Ovis aries: one gene and its partner. The protein of the gene in region 1 purifies or fractionates together with the protein of each later gene. This does not show direct contact. Links are inferred from orthologs where the notes say so. Each region holds a gene or a part of one and is shown in the gene's direction. Other genes may lie near its edges.

Region 1 (6,543 bases):
GCTTGTTTTCTCTTCCCTTCTTCCCAACCTCCCTCCAAACAAACCCAGTAAAGGAAACTTTCCAGCGGTCAAGAGGCCACAGTGTAAGAAGGCAGAGAGGCCTCAGATGAATCCTGGCCTGCTGCGGCCAGGCAGTGTGGCCTTGGGCAAGTCTGTTCTCTCGATCTTGGCTTCGTAGGGGGCTGGGCAAGATGAGCCCTGTGGAAGCTTTGTCCTCTGACATCGGCAATTCTGTGAGGAGATCCAGCCTCTGCCCACAGTCAGCTCTTCTGTTTAACTGATGGCAGTTCTTGTTTCTCTGGGTCCTCAGACTGGCAGGAAGGCAGGCGGGAAGAACACTGCCCTGTTTTGAGGGCCTACTGTGAGTCTGGTGCAGCTCAAGCCGAGTGCTTTGACATTTCCTATTCTAACTCCCAACTGCCCTAGGAGATGGGTCTCAGCAGCTCCATTTCAAAGATGAGGAAACTGAGGCTCAGAAAACTGAAATAAAATCAAGTGCTTCTGTGGCTGCCTCTTCCCCTCCCCCAGACAAGAACCTGTCCCCTCTCTGGGACTTCCTGCTCAGAGTCCCACCCCAGTCACCTGTGGACTCGTACCTTGCCCAGGGAGGAACAGACCTGCCTTTGTGGCCCCCCCGACCCACACACACACATTGCTTTCCTAGTTTGTGGGTCCACTTCCTGCCTGGCTCTGTTAGGAGCTTTTACACTCATCACCTCTCCCCTACCCCACCCACCCCCACCATCCCAGTCCTTCCCCCAAGAGTGGTGATCTGTACTGCACTGTTTGCAGCCCCCACCACAAACTGTGGGCAGGAAACTTCCACACTCACCCTCAGCTTGTCGTGTGACCTTAACCAAGTCACTGCAGCATGCCGGGCCTCTTCATCTTTAAAATAGCAGGGTTGGTCCAGGTGTTCTCGGAAGGCCCTTTTGAGGCTGACTCTGAAAGACAGCCATAACTGAGTCTTCCAGAAACAACCCACATGACGTTTATTTGTTTGTTTATGTTTAATTCTTTTTTTATCTTAGAGTATAAAAGGACATTTACTCCTCTGTCTTCGGGTGTAGGGCCAAGCCCCCGGAGTAGGAGCGTGCCGCTGGGAAGTTTCTCCTCATTCGTCTTGCACAAACCATCCCCATAAGGCAGGCATTTATTTTTAAGCAAACATTTATTGCCTGCCAGATGGTGTTCATACATAATCTCATTTAACCTTCTCAACAGCCATGTGGCTCAGTCTTTTATAACAGCAATACTAGTTCACATTTGCCGAACATTTACAACGTGCCAGGCACCAAGCTGGCTGCACTGCCTGGGTCATCTCTCAACTAATCTTTACCACCACTCTCTAAAAAGGATTTTTTTTCCCCTTTACAGATGAGGAAGAGAGGCGCAGACAGGGCTTGAGTTCCTAAAGTGAATGAATGACCAGTGCAGGAATGATTGACAGTGGCAGGTGAACTCCAGAGTTACTGCTCTTAGCTGGGACGTTCTCCTGCTTCCCAGTTTATTATCCCCATTTTCTCAATAGGGAGACTGAGGCTACAGAACTGCGACGCTTTGCTCAGGGTCACCAGCTGAGATCCAGCAGAGGCCTTGAGTTCACCTGCTAAGTGTGGGCCTTGCCCAGCTCATGATATGAGCTGGCAGATCTGTTGAGTCCCAGGGGCATCAGCTGGAGGGATGTGAAACCTGGTCAGCAGAGTCTGTTCTTCTTAACCAACTGCCTCCCACTGCCCCCACCTGGGGGGCCTCTGGCACCCACCTCAGCTACATCGTGCAGGATCTGATGGAGACAGACCTGTACAAATTGCTCAAAAGCCAGCAGCTGAGCAACGACCATGTATGCTACTTCCTGTACCAGATCCTGCGGGGCCTGAAGTATATCCACTCCGCCAACGTGCTCCACCGGGATTTAAAGCCCTCCAACCTGCTCATCAACACCACCTGCGACCTTAAGGTCTGAGGGTTGCGTGCCTGTCTCCTTCTGCCCCTGGGGTCTCAGGCTTCAGGGTGACCAGTAGTCCCCTTCCTGCCATGGGTAGGAGAGACATGGGTGATAGGATTGGTTGGGCCCAGGAGGCCTTGAGCACTGAGCTCAGCAGCCTGGTTTGCATTCTAGATCTGTGATTTCGGTCTTGCCCGGATTGCTGATCCCGAGCATGACCACACTGGCTTCTTGACGGAATACGTGGCCACACGCTGGTACCGGGCCCCAGAGATCATGCTTAACTCCAAGGTAGGGGGCCCACCCACCCGTGAAGGGAAGAGACCGGATCCCAGAAAGCCCTGGAGCCACCTCTGAGTCCAGCACTGACCCTCATGATGCAGGAAGTGTCCCTTCTGGGCCTTGTCACATTATTCTGGTCCTTGGGCTATGGAAAGAAACTGAGGATTCACTCCCCAGGCTTCTTCGCTCTGCCTCCCTGGCTGGTGTTGACCCTAGGGTCAGGGGTGCCGGCTTGGCCCAGGAGTCCACCACTTTTCTCCTCCTCCCCAGGGCTACACCAAGTCCATCGACATCTGGTCTGTGGGCTGCATTCTGGCTGAGATGCTCTCCAACCGGCCCATCTTCCCCGGCAAGCACTACCTGGACCAGCTCAACCACATTCTGGGTAGGGGGTATTGGCCAGCTGAGTGGGAGGGAAACTTGCTTACTGGAGGTGAGATTTCTTTAGGGTCAAAGTTCCCAGGTGGCTCAGAAGGTAAAGAGTGTGCCTGCAGTGCAGGAGACCCGGGACCCATCCCTGGGTCAGGAAGATCCTCTGGAGAAGGAAATAGCAACCCAAATGGTATTCTTGCCTGGAAAATCCCATGGACGGAGGAGCCTGGCAGGCTATATATAGTCCATGGGATCGCAAAGAGTTGGACACAACTGAGCGACTTCACTTCAGGGTCAGTGTGTCCGCAGGAGTCAGGTCAGGGGGACCACCATGTGTGGTCCAGGAGCCCCTACAGCATTCACAGTGTTTAACTGAGTTACAGATACTGTCCCCATTTGATAGATGGGAAAAGCAAGGCTCCATACACCCCACACTTAGGAAGTGCTCGGGCCAGGATTTAAACCTGGGGCTGCCCGATCCAGACCCCCGGCTCTTCACCCCCATAGTATTGGCTGGGAGATAATGGTTGGCCTGGAGCAGGTTGGCGGAGGGCTCTTATTCTTGGCTCCTTCTGTTCCCAGAAGGGAGAGATTGCTCACCAAGTCACCTGCCCTACCCACAGGTATTCTGGGCTCCCCATCCCAGGAGGACCTGAACTGTATCATCAACATGAAAGCCCGAAACTACCTGCAGTCTCTGCCCTCCAAGACCAAGGTGGCCTGGGCCAAGCTTTTTCCTAAGTCAGACCCCAAAGGTGAGAGAGACTTGGGAACTTGTATAATAAAAACTGGGTGTAGAGGAAGGTACAAGAGCCCAGCGGTTTTCTGGGACACAGAGGCCTCTGGACCAACAAGCCTCTGAACACAGAGAAGCCAAGTAGTGCTTCTGAGAGCTTCTCTGACCTTCCCTTTGACCTCTGACCCCTGCACTTCCTAGCTCTTGACCTGCTGGACCGGATGTTGACCTTTAACCCCAACAAACGGATCACAGTGGAAGAAGCGCTGGCTCACCCCTACCTGGAGCAGTACTATGACCCAACGGATGAGGTGGGCCAGCCACTAGTGGCAGGGCTGACAGGTGGACGGGGGTCTTCCCTCGGTCCCTGCCCTGAGCCACCCCACTTCTTTGCCACCCCAGCCAGTGGCCGAGGAACCTTTCACCTTCGACATGGAGCTGGATGATCTACCCAAGGAACGACTGAAGGAGCTCATCTTCCAGGAGACAGCCCGCTTCCAGCCTGGGGTGCTGGAGGCCTCCTAACCTGGCTGGCTGCCTCTGCTCCTGGGGCCTGGTGAGTGCCTCCCCCACTCCTGCACAGATTCACCCTGCGACGAGAATGCCCAGCATGCCTCCATACGGTCACAAGCCTGCTCACATCCACGAGCCACGGGTTTGGTGGCAACAGAAGGGCTACAGCCTGCCTTGGCCACAGACCTGTGGTCCCCAGCCCCATATGTCTCCCCCATGTCAACATCTTGCAGACTCCAGCCCCAGGTCACGAAGGGCCCCCCTCATCCACCTGAGGAAACGGAGCCAGGGTTTGGCTCCCCCAGGGCAGGCAGAGAGGCAGGGGGAGCAGTAATTGCTTTGGGAGGAGCCAGCAGCACCCAGCCTGACCCACATGCCAGGCTTTTTCTCACCTGGTGTCCAGGTCAGCAGTTCACACACCTGCGGGAACCTGGCTGGGGCTACACCCACACTGCTGTGCGGCCCTCCTCTCATTTCCTGTCTGTCTTTGGCCAGCTGTAGCCTGATATCAGTAAGGCAGACACACCCGGGTTCAAAGCCCGGCTCTGCTACTTCATAAGGGCTGTGTGATATTGTGCAAGACACCTCACCTTGCCGCGCCTCAGTCTCCTGGAGACAGCCTGATAATGAAATTCCTGCAAGACGTTTGCTTGTATCAATTCACTTAGTCCCAATAGCAGTACCTTGAAATGGGTATTAATATTACCCGCACTGACAGATAAGGAAAGCCAGCTGCATGCCACCCAGCCGCAAGGTGATAGGAGGGAAGTGAGGGTGGGGCTCAGGCAGGTCAGCCACCGGGCTAATGGTTCCTTTCCTGCCTACCTTTTTGTCTAGGCCCTGCCTCCTGCCTGCCCCTCCCCTGCTGGACTGTTAGAAAATGGACCGTGTACCCAGCCCAGACCCCCCCGACAGCCCAGGTCGGGGTGGAGGGCGGGCCTGGCCACCTCCCTTCGCTTCGCTCAGGCGTCCTGCCTCAGGCAGGCCAACACGCCCTTCCTTTCCTCCTCCTGCCCACCTCCCCACCCCCCGCCCAGGACCTGAGGGGCTCAGGTGGCCCCAAAGCAAATTCCCCTCTGCTGCTCTGCCTCTGTCTGCCCAGCTCTCCCAGTCTCTGATAGTTCTGGAATCCAAGGGCTCTGGTTGCCCCGGACCGACTGAGGGGCGGTGGGGGAGGGGCGAGGAGGACGTGAGCTGGGACTCAGGGTCAGCCCTGCCCCTCACCTCGTTAAAACCCCACCCTGTTTTCCCTGAAGGAACATTCCTAAGGCTCAAGGGCTAGTATCCCTGAGGAGCGGGGGCCCAGGTCTCAACCCCTCCCCTACAAAGCTGCCACATCTAACATCCCTGCTGCTTCCGTGTGTGGGTGAACAGAAGTGGAGGTGGGGGCCTGTGGAGCGCCCAGGGCCCCCGCCCACCCCTGTGCCTGTATCTAATATATAAATATAGAGATGTGTCTATGGATGGCCCTGGCTCTCTCTCTGTTCGCCGACGCCCTGACCCTCACCCTTGCTGCCCTGAGCGCTGATGCTTTACCCGGCATGGTGGCCTTCGGCTCCCCTGCTGGCCAGGGTTGAGGATGGGAGTGGGATCTAGACTCCTGGCCAGAGTGGGGTCTTGTTGTTCAGTCACTAATTCATGTCCAGCTCCTTGCGACCTCATGGACTGCAGCCTGCCAGGCTCCTCTGTCTTCCACTCTCTTGCAGAGTTTGCTCCAATTCATGTCTGTTGAGTCGGGGTCAGTTCCCCCTTATTCATTGTCCTGTCCCCTCTGTGATGGTTTCCTGTCTAACTGGCTGGAGATGATTCTAGAGTGACTCAGGGACACCCTGCACACCCCCAGATTCTCTGGAAACGGCAAGGGGTGTATATATACTCCGGCAACAGGCACCAGTGGGAAGGTGGAGTGTGGTAGTGGACCTGCTGGGGGGAGGGTTGACTTGATTTCCCTGGTGTGGCCACAGAGACAAGGAGGCTGGGCTGTGCGAAGGGCCTAGTGTGTGAGGCCCAGAGCTGCCTGGTCTCTTCTCCTGCCTCTACCCCATCCCCAGCTCAGCCCTGCACTCTGGCCTCTAGCCAGCAGCAGGCTCAGCAGGTCCCTAGGGGTGTGGTGGCGGCCGGTGGTGGAGTCAGCCTACATCAGCCAGGCAGTCAGTGAAGCAGCACAGTCCACCGGGAAAAGCTGAGCTCCACGGCTGCCGGAGCCTGGAGAGGCGGCGTGGCCATGAGCCCTCTGCTCTACTACGCCCTGCCCGCCCTGGGCAGCTATGTCATGCTGTCCTTCTTCTTCCTGCGCCGACCTCGCCTGCTGCACACACCATGGGTTCCAGCCTTCCGTCCCCGCCTGGGGGCCCACCGCGGAGGTGAGCTGGGCTGGGATAGGCACGGGGTGGCCACTCCTGAGGATGGAGTGAGGACTGCGAGGCAGGTGGGCAGCAGAGAGGGCTAGGTCCCAAGGGCAGGATGTTAAAGGGAGGGCAGAGTTCAAGGTAGGCGGAGATAAGGATGGCAGGGCAAGAGATTGAATAGGGAAAAAGGAGCCGTTCAACCTGTCCTGACTGAAGTGATGAGGCAAGGGGCAGGGGGTGTGGGGGGAGGGAGGCCAGGCCCCAGGAACCCACGCCAGCTGCCCCACACAGGGTCTGGAGAGCGCCTGGAGAACACCATGGAGGCCATGGAGAAGTGAGTCCAC
Region 2 (4,439 bases), on another chromosome or scaffold:
AAAAAAAAAAAAAAAAAAGTGCCTTTTGACAAGGTTGCAGACCACAGGTGTATTGCAAATTTTGTCTGTTTTTTGACTGACTCCAGTCATTTGTATGTAGACAGCAGGATTTTCCCACCATCTTTGGACTGGAGGAGGGCCAGATAGAAGTACTCTTGGTAGACAGGAATCCTAGCATGACTTTATAATTTTAAAAGACCAACCTGGGAGTTGTTTTAGGACACCAAGTTAGTTGTTGGAAAGCTCTGTGAATGTGAGATGCTGTAATCCAACTGAATGTTACTGTGATACTGGTTCACAGTGAGACAGTGAGGGTAACCTGAGCCCAGCAGGAAGAACTGTGGGCTGAAAGCCTGGAGAAGCGAATCTCCAGGCATTGTAATGCATTTCCTATTACAAAGGAACTCATTTTCAGGCCATGTCGACATCCTGTTCCTCCTAATGGGCTGTCCCCTGTGACTTCCCTCTCTCTTTTTTGAAATGCCTGAATACCTCCATTGTTAGCTGCACAACAGTTGGAGAATAATTTAATAGACCCTTGCAGTCTGCTTGTCTGTATAAAAGGCATTCACGACCATATTGCAGGGTTTCTGGTATTCACATGCTGAGGCAAAGAATGCACACATTAAGGGGTTTTGTGTTGGCAGAAACTTAATACAAAAGCTCCCTTTTCAGAAAATATCTGAAATATGTAATTGTGCCCAGTGTACATGTTTTAGCTCAGTGATACATTTTCTGCTGCCTGCAGGGCTCAGCTGCCACACACAATTGTATTTTAATCTTTAGTATTATTATTACTCAGGTTTTAGGCTGATCGTTCACAAAGGGGGATTTTTGGTCCACTGATATTTTTCCCTTTCTTTTTCTGTTTACAGATGAAGCCCGGGGCAAAAACTGTGGCGTCCTGGTGCATTGCTTAGCTGGCATCAGCCGCTCGGTCACTGTGACTGTGGCTTACCTTATGCAGAAGCTCAATCTGTCGATGAATGATGCTTATGACATTGTGAAGATGAAGAAATCCAACATCTCTCCCAACTTCAACTTCATGGGCCAGCTCCTGGACTTCGAGAGGACGCTGGGACTGAGCAGCCCCTGTGACAACCGCGTCCCCACACAGCAGCTCTATTTCACCACGCCCTCCAACCAGAATGTCTACCAGGTGGACTCTCTGCAATCCACGTGAAGGGCCCCCCCAACTGGGATGTGTCCAGTCGATCTTTAGCAGTTTCTCTCAGCAGCAGCCGCCAGGCTGCTTTCTTTGTATGTGGCCCCAGGTGTTAACAGGACACCAGCTGTCTGTATTAGACAAGGTTACCACGTATGGAATTGGTTATTCCCAAGGGAGAGATTTGCTCCCTTCCTGTTGGAAGAACAGGACCCGCTGTATAGATAGAGGCAGTAGGTTTGCTCCACACCCCTGTGTACAGCCTACCCCTGCAGGGACTGGGATTCGAGGACTTCCAGGTACATAGGGTAGGACCAAATGGTAGGGTAGGAGCATGTGTTCTTTAGGGCCTTGTATGACTGTTTCTTTTGCATCTGGAACTGATTCTATATTGTCTTCAGTGAAGACCGATTCAATTTTGCATATAGAGGAGCCAAAGAGAGGTTTCAGCTCTGTGTTTGTAGTATCAGTTTGCAAAAAAAAAAAAGAAAGAAAGAAAAGAAAAAAAAAAATCAGTCAAATGAATCTCATATTCCATTTGATTATTGTAAATATTTGATCTTAAATCACTTGACAGTGTTTGTTTGAACTGTGTTTTTCCTTTGATGGGTTTAAAAGAAATCATCCAAAGGGAGAGAGAGCAGTTTGCCACTTAAAAACAATGGAAACTTTTGCTCTTTTTGAATCCAAAGGATATATTTGCAGCATGCTCAACGCTACCAATTCCTGAATGACATTTTCATGGACACTTGATGATCATGGAGACCTTGTTATGGTGCAGTCTTCAGTCTCTCTCATATATCTTCCTTGTGACTTTTTTTCTCCTTAATGTAGTTTGACTCTGCCTTATCTTTGTAAATATTTTGATTTGTGTTGTCTCAAAGGGGATATCTTGGAAAGACACCAAAATCATGGGCTCACTTTTTTTGTTGTTGAAACTTCAGCTGTGCTAAACAGTATCTTACCTCTGTACAAAATTCTTCAGGGAGTGTCACCTCAAATGCAATATTTTGGGTTGGTTTCTTTCCTTTTTAAAAACAATTTGTGTGAAACTGGAAGCGTGTGCGCGTGCGTGTGTGTGTGTGTGTATGTGTGTGTGTGTGTGTGTGTGTGTGAGAGCATGGGTACTCATTCGATAGGTGACATGCATATGATTGTGCAGGAAGGAGACAAGTGGCTCCGTATGTTGATGGTATAAAGTTCTGAGCTGAAATTTTATTATAAGAATGTAAAACCTTAAATTATTAATAAATAACTATTTTGGCTATCAAATGTGTATTTTTTCAAAATCTCTCCTTAATTGTACTTAGATATGAAGTGATACATTTTAGGATTTTTCAGTTGGGGATTGATACTGGCTTATTTAAAATACATGTAGGAATATTGGGGCAAAGTTCTCATCTCAAACTATTACCAAGAAGTCTTCAGGTATGGTTTATGAAATTAGCCTTTTGCTTCAAGTAAAAGTGACATAATGGAAGGGATTGACTATATCATTTCCTATGAGTGTGAGTGTGAAATTCTCTCAGTTGTGTCAGATTCTTTGTGGTCCCATGGGTTATAGCCCACGGGGCTCTGCTGTCCATGGAATTCTCCAGGTGAGAATACTGGAGTGGGCAGCCATTCTTTTCTCCAGAGGATCTTCCCAACCCAGGGCTTGAACCAGGGTCTCTTGCATTGCAGGCAGATTCTTTACCATCTGAGCCACCAGGGAAGTTCATAATCATTCCTATGGACAAAATATAGTAAGTCTGGCCTATTTAAGAAAACTGTGATGCTCTTGAAGGAAAATGGTGTCATAAGAGCATAGCTTTCTGAAATTACAATATTTAGATATTCATGAATAGTCACAAAGAGAAGGCATCAGAATAACAAAACGACAGCATTAACCTCTCTTGATTTTCCCTGTCAGGGTCTTCTGCTCAGTAATACACATACCAGGAAAAAAGTAGAATTATTTCTCTGGTTTGTAAGTGGCACTTCTATCTGCAAATTCTAGTCTTGGAATAGTAAATGAATCAGGGATGGTGTCTCCCCTTTCTGGTGTACATGGCAGAGCACAGCTAACCGTTCTCCCTGAGACTGGATGTGGCCACAATTTCATATTAGCGCTTGAAGCATCACCACTCCTGTCCTAATGTGCTTTGTGCTTAACTAATTTAGAATGTGGGCCAGAAACCCCTGTTGAAAAAAAAATTTTTTATGCTAAGGTTATTTTGAACCATTAATTTTCAAGGTAAAGGCTTAATATTCTGTCATTTCCCTCAGGACATCCCTCTCCGTGTCCCGAGTGTCAAAGTACACAAAAGTGTATGAAATCAAAAGAACTAGAACGTACATTTCCAGCCCTTTTTGAATGAGCTTAGTCCCTTTGTCTGCAGTGGAGAGAAAAATGAGCTTTTCACTCACATGGTACATATGAGGTGTCAGTTGGATTATCTGCTAGGAGGCAAATAACCCTGATTCTATGACAATTGTATCAAGCTGTCCTGTGTGACTTTTAGCAGCTAAGCATGTACAAAAGGCAGAAACAGTGCAGAAAAATACCAAGTCAGTCCCTCCCATTTGGGTGCCCTGAGTCAGCCGGAGCTCCGAAAGGAGAAGTGGGTTGCAGTTCAACTTGGCTCGTGTTAATCCGGTTCTGAACGGTTTCCGCTCCTGGCATTCCCTAAACTGCCTCTTCAAAGTAGGGATTTGCGAGCAGCCTTAGCAATTTCCTGTCCAGCTGCAGCTCGAGTAGCTGTGTGCTTTTCTCCTCCCTTCTCTTTTCTCTGATTTCTTTTCTCTTTTCTCTTTCTTCTCTCTTTAATACGGGTGGTGGATAATTTTAGTGCATTTCCTCTTTGTGGATTATCGTCTCCTTTCCTTCTAGAACTTGCAAACACTGAGTTCCTTCGGCTCTGCTCAAGCCGACAGCTGGCCTCCCCAGCACTTCCTCTCGGTTCACTGTGGGTTTGTTGTTTGTCAGTCCACTTCTGAAATTAATAATGTTTTCTGGCCCAATGCCACAAGCCATTACCACAAAGGGGAAGTAACACATATGAATAGCAGGAAGCCACGCAGGGTCACAGTGTGAGCTGAGCTTGTGGTGGGAGCATAATTGAGCCCAGCTCATTCAGCAAGTGTCTGACATCGATTTGGGGGAGACGGAGCTCCCTGCCTTTAAGCAGCTTAAGCTGTGAAAAAAAAAAAAAGTTTCCAATAAATTGGTAGCAAATGGTCTTTGTCATCAGTGCAAATAAGAGAGGGAGCAAGGAGAGTTTAGGGCCCCCAT

What was found. The genes of interacting proteins can lie anywhere in the genome.
Region 2: the proteins of MAPK3 (region 1) and DUSP6 purify together in Homo sapiens (affinity purification with mass spectrometry; 7 studies listed by BioGRID and IntAct, with this or other methods). This does not show direct contact. The link is inferred for Ovis aries from reciprocal best matches to the Homo sapiens genes MAPK3 and DUSP6.

Annotation. Positions count from the first base shown.
Region 1 is NC_056077.1:26,694,694-26,701,236, forward strand, and holds the end of MAPK3 (mitogen-activated protein kinase 3), read left to right. Parts: intron 1-1,770; coding exon 1,771-1,960; intron 1,961-2,122; coding exon 2,123-2,239; intron 2,240-2,500; coding exon 2,501-2,615; intron 2,616-3,225; coding exon 3,226-3,357; intron 3,358-3,539; coding exon 3,540-3,649; intron 3,650-3,740; coding exon 3,741-3,863; 3' UTR 3,864-3,894; intron 3,895-4,688; 3' UTR 4,689-5,315; downstream 5,316-6,543. Other genes in the region: lysophospholipase D GDPD3, read left to right, coding at 6,076-6,214, 6,491-6,533.
Region 2 is NC_056056.1:125,701,444-125,705,882, reverse strand, and holds the end of DUSP6 (dual specificity protein phosphatase 6), read left to right. Parts: intron 1-875; coding exon 876-1,183; 3' UTR 1,184-2,437; downstream 2,438-4,439. UniProt on the Homo sapiens protein: Dual specificity protein phosphatase, which mediates dephosphorylation and inactivation of MAP kinases. Has a specificity for the ERK family. Plays an important role in alleviating chronic postoperative pain.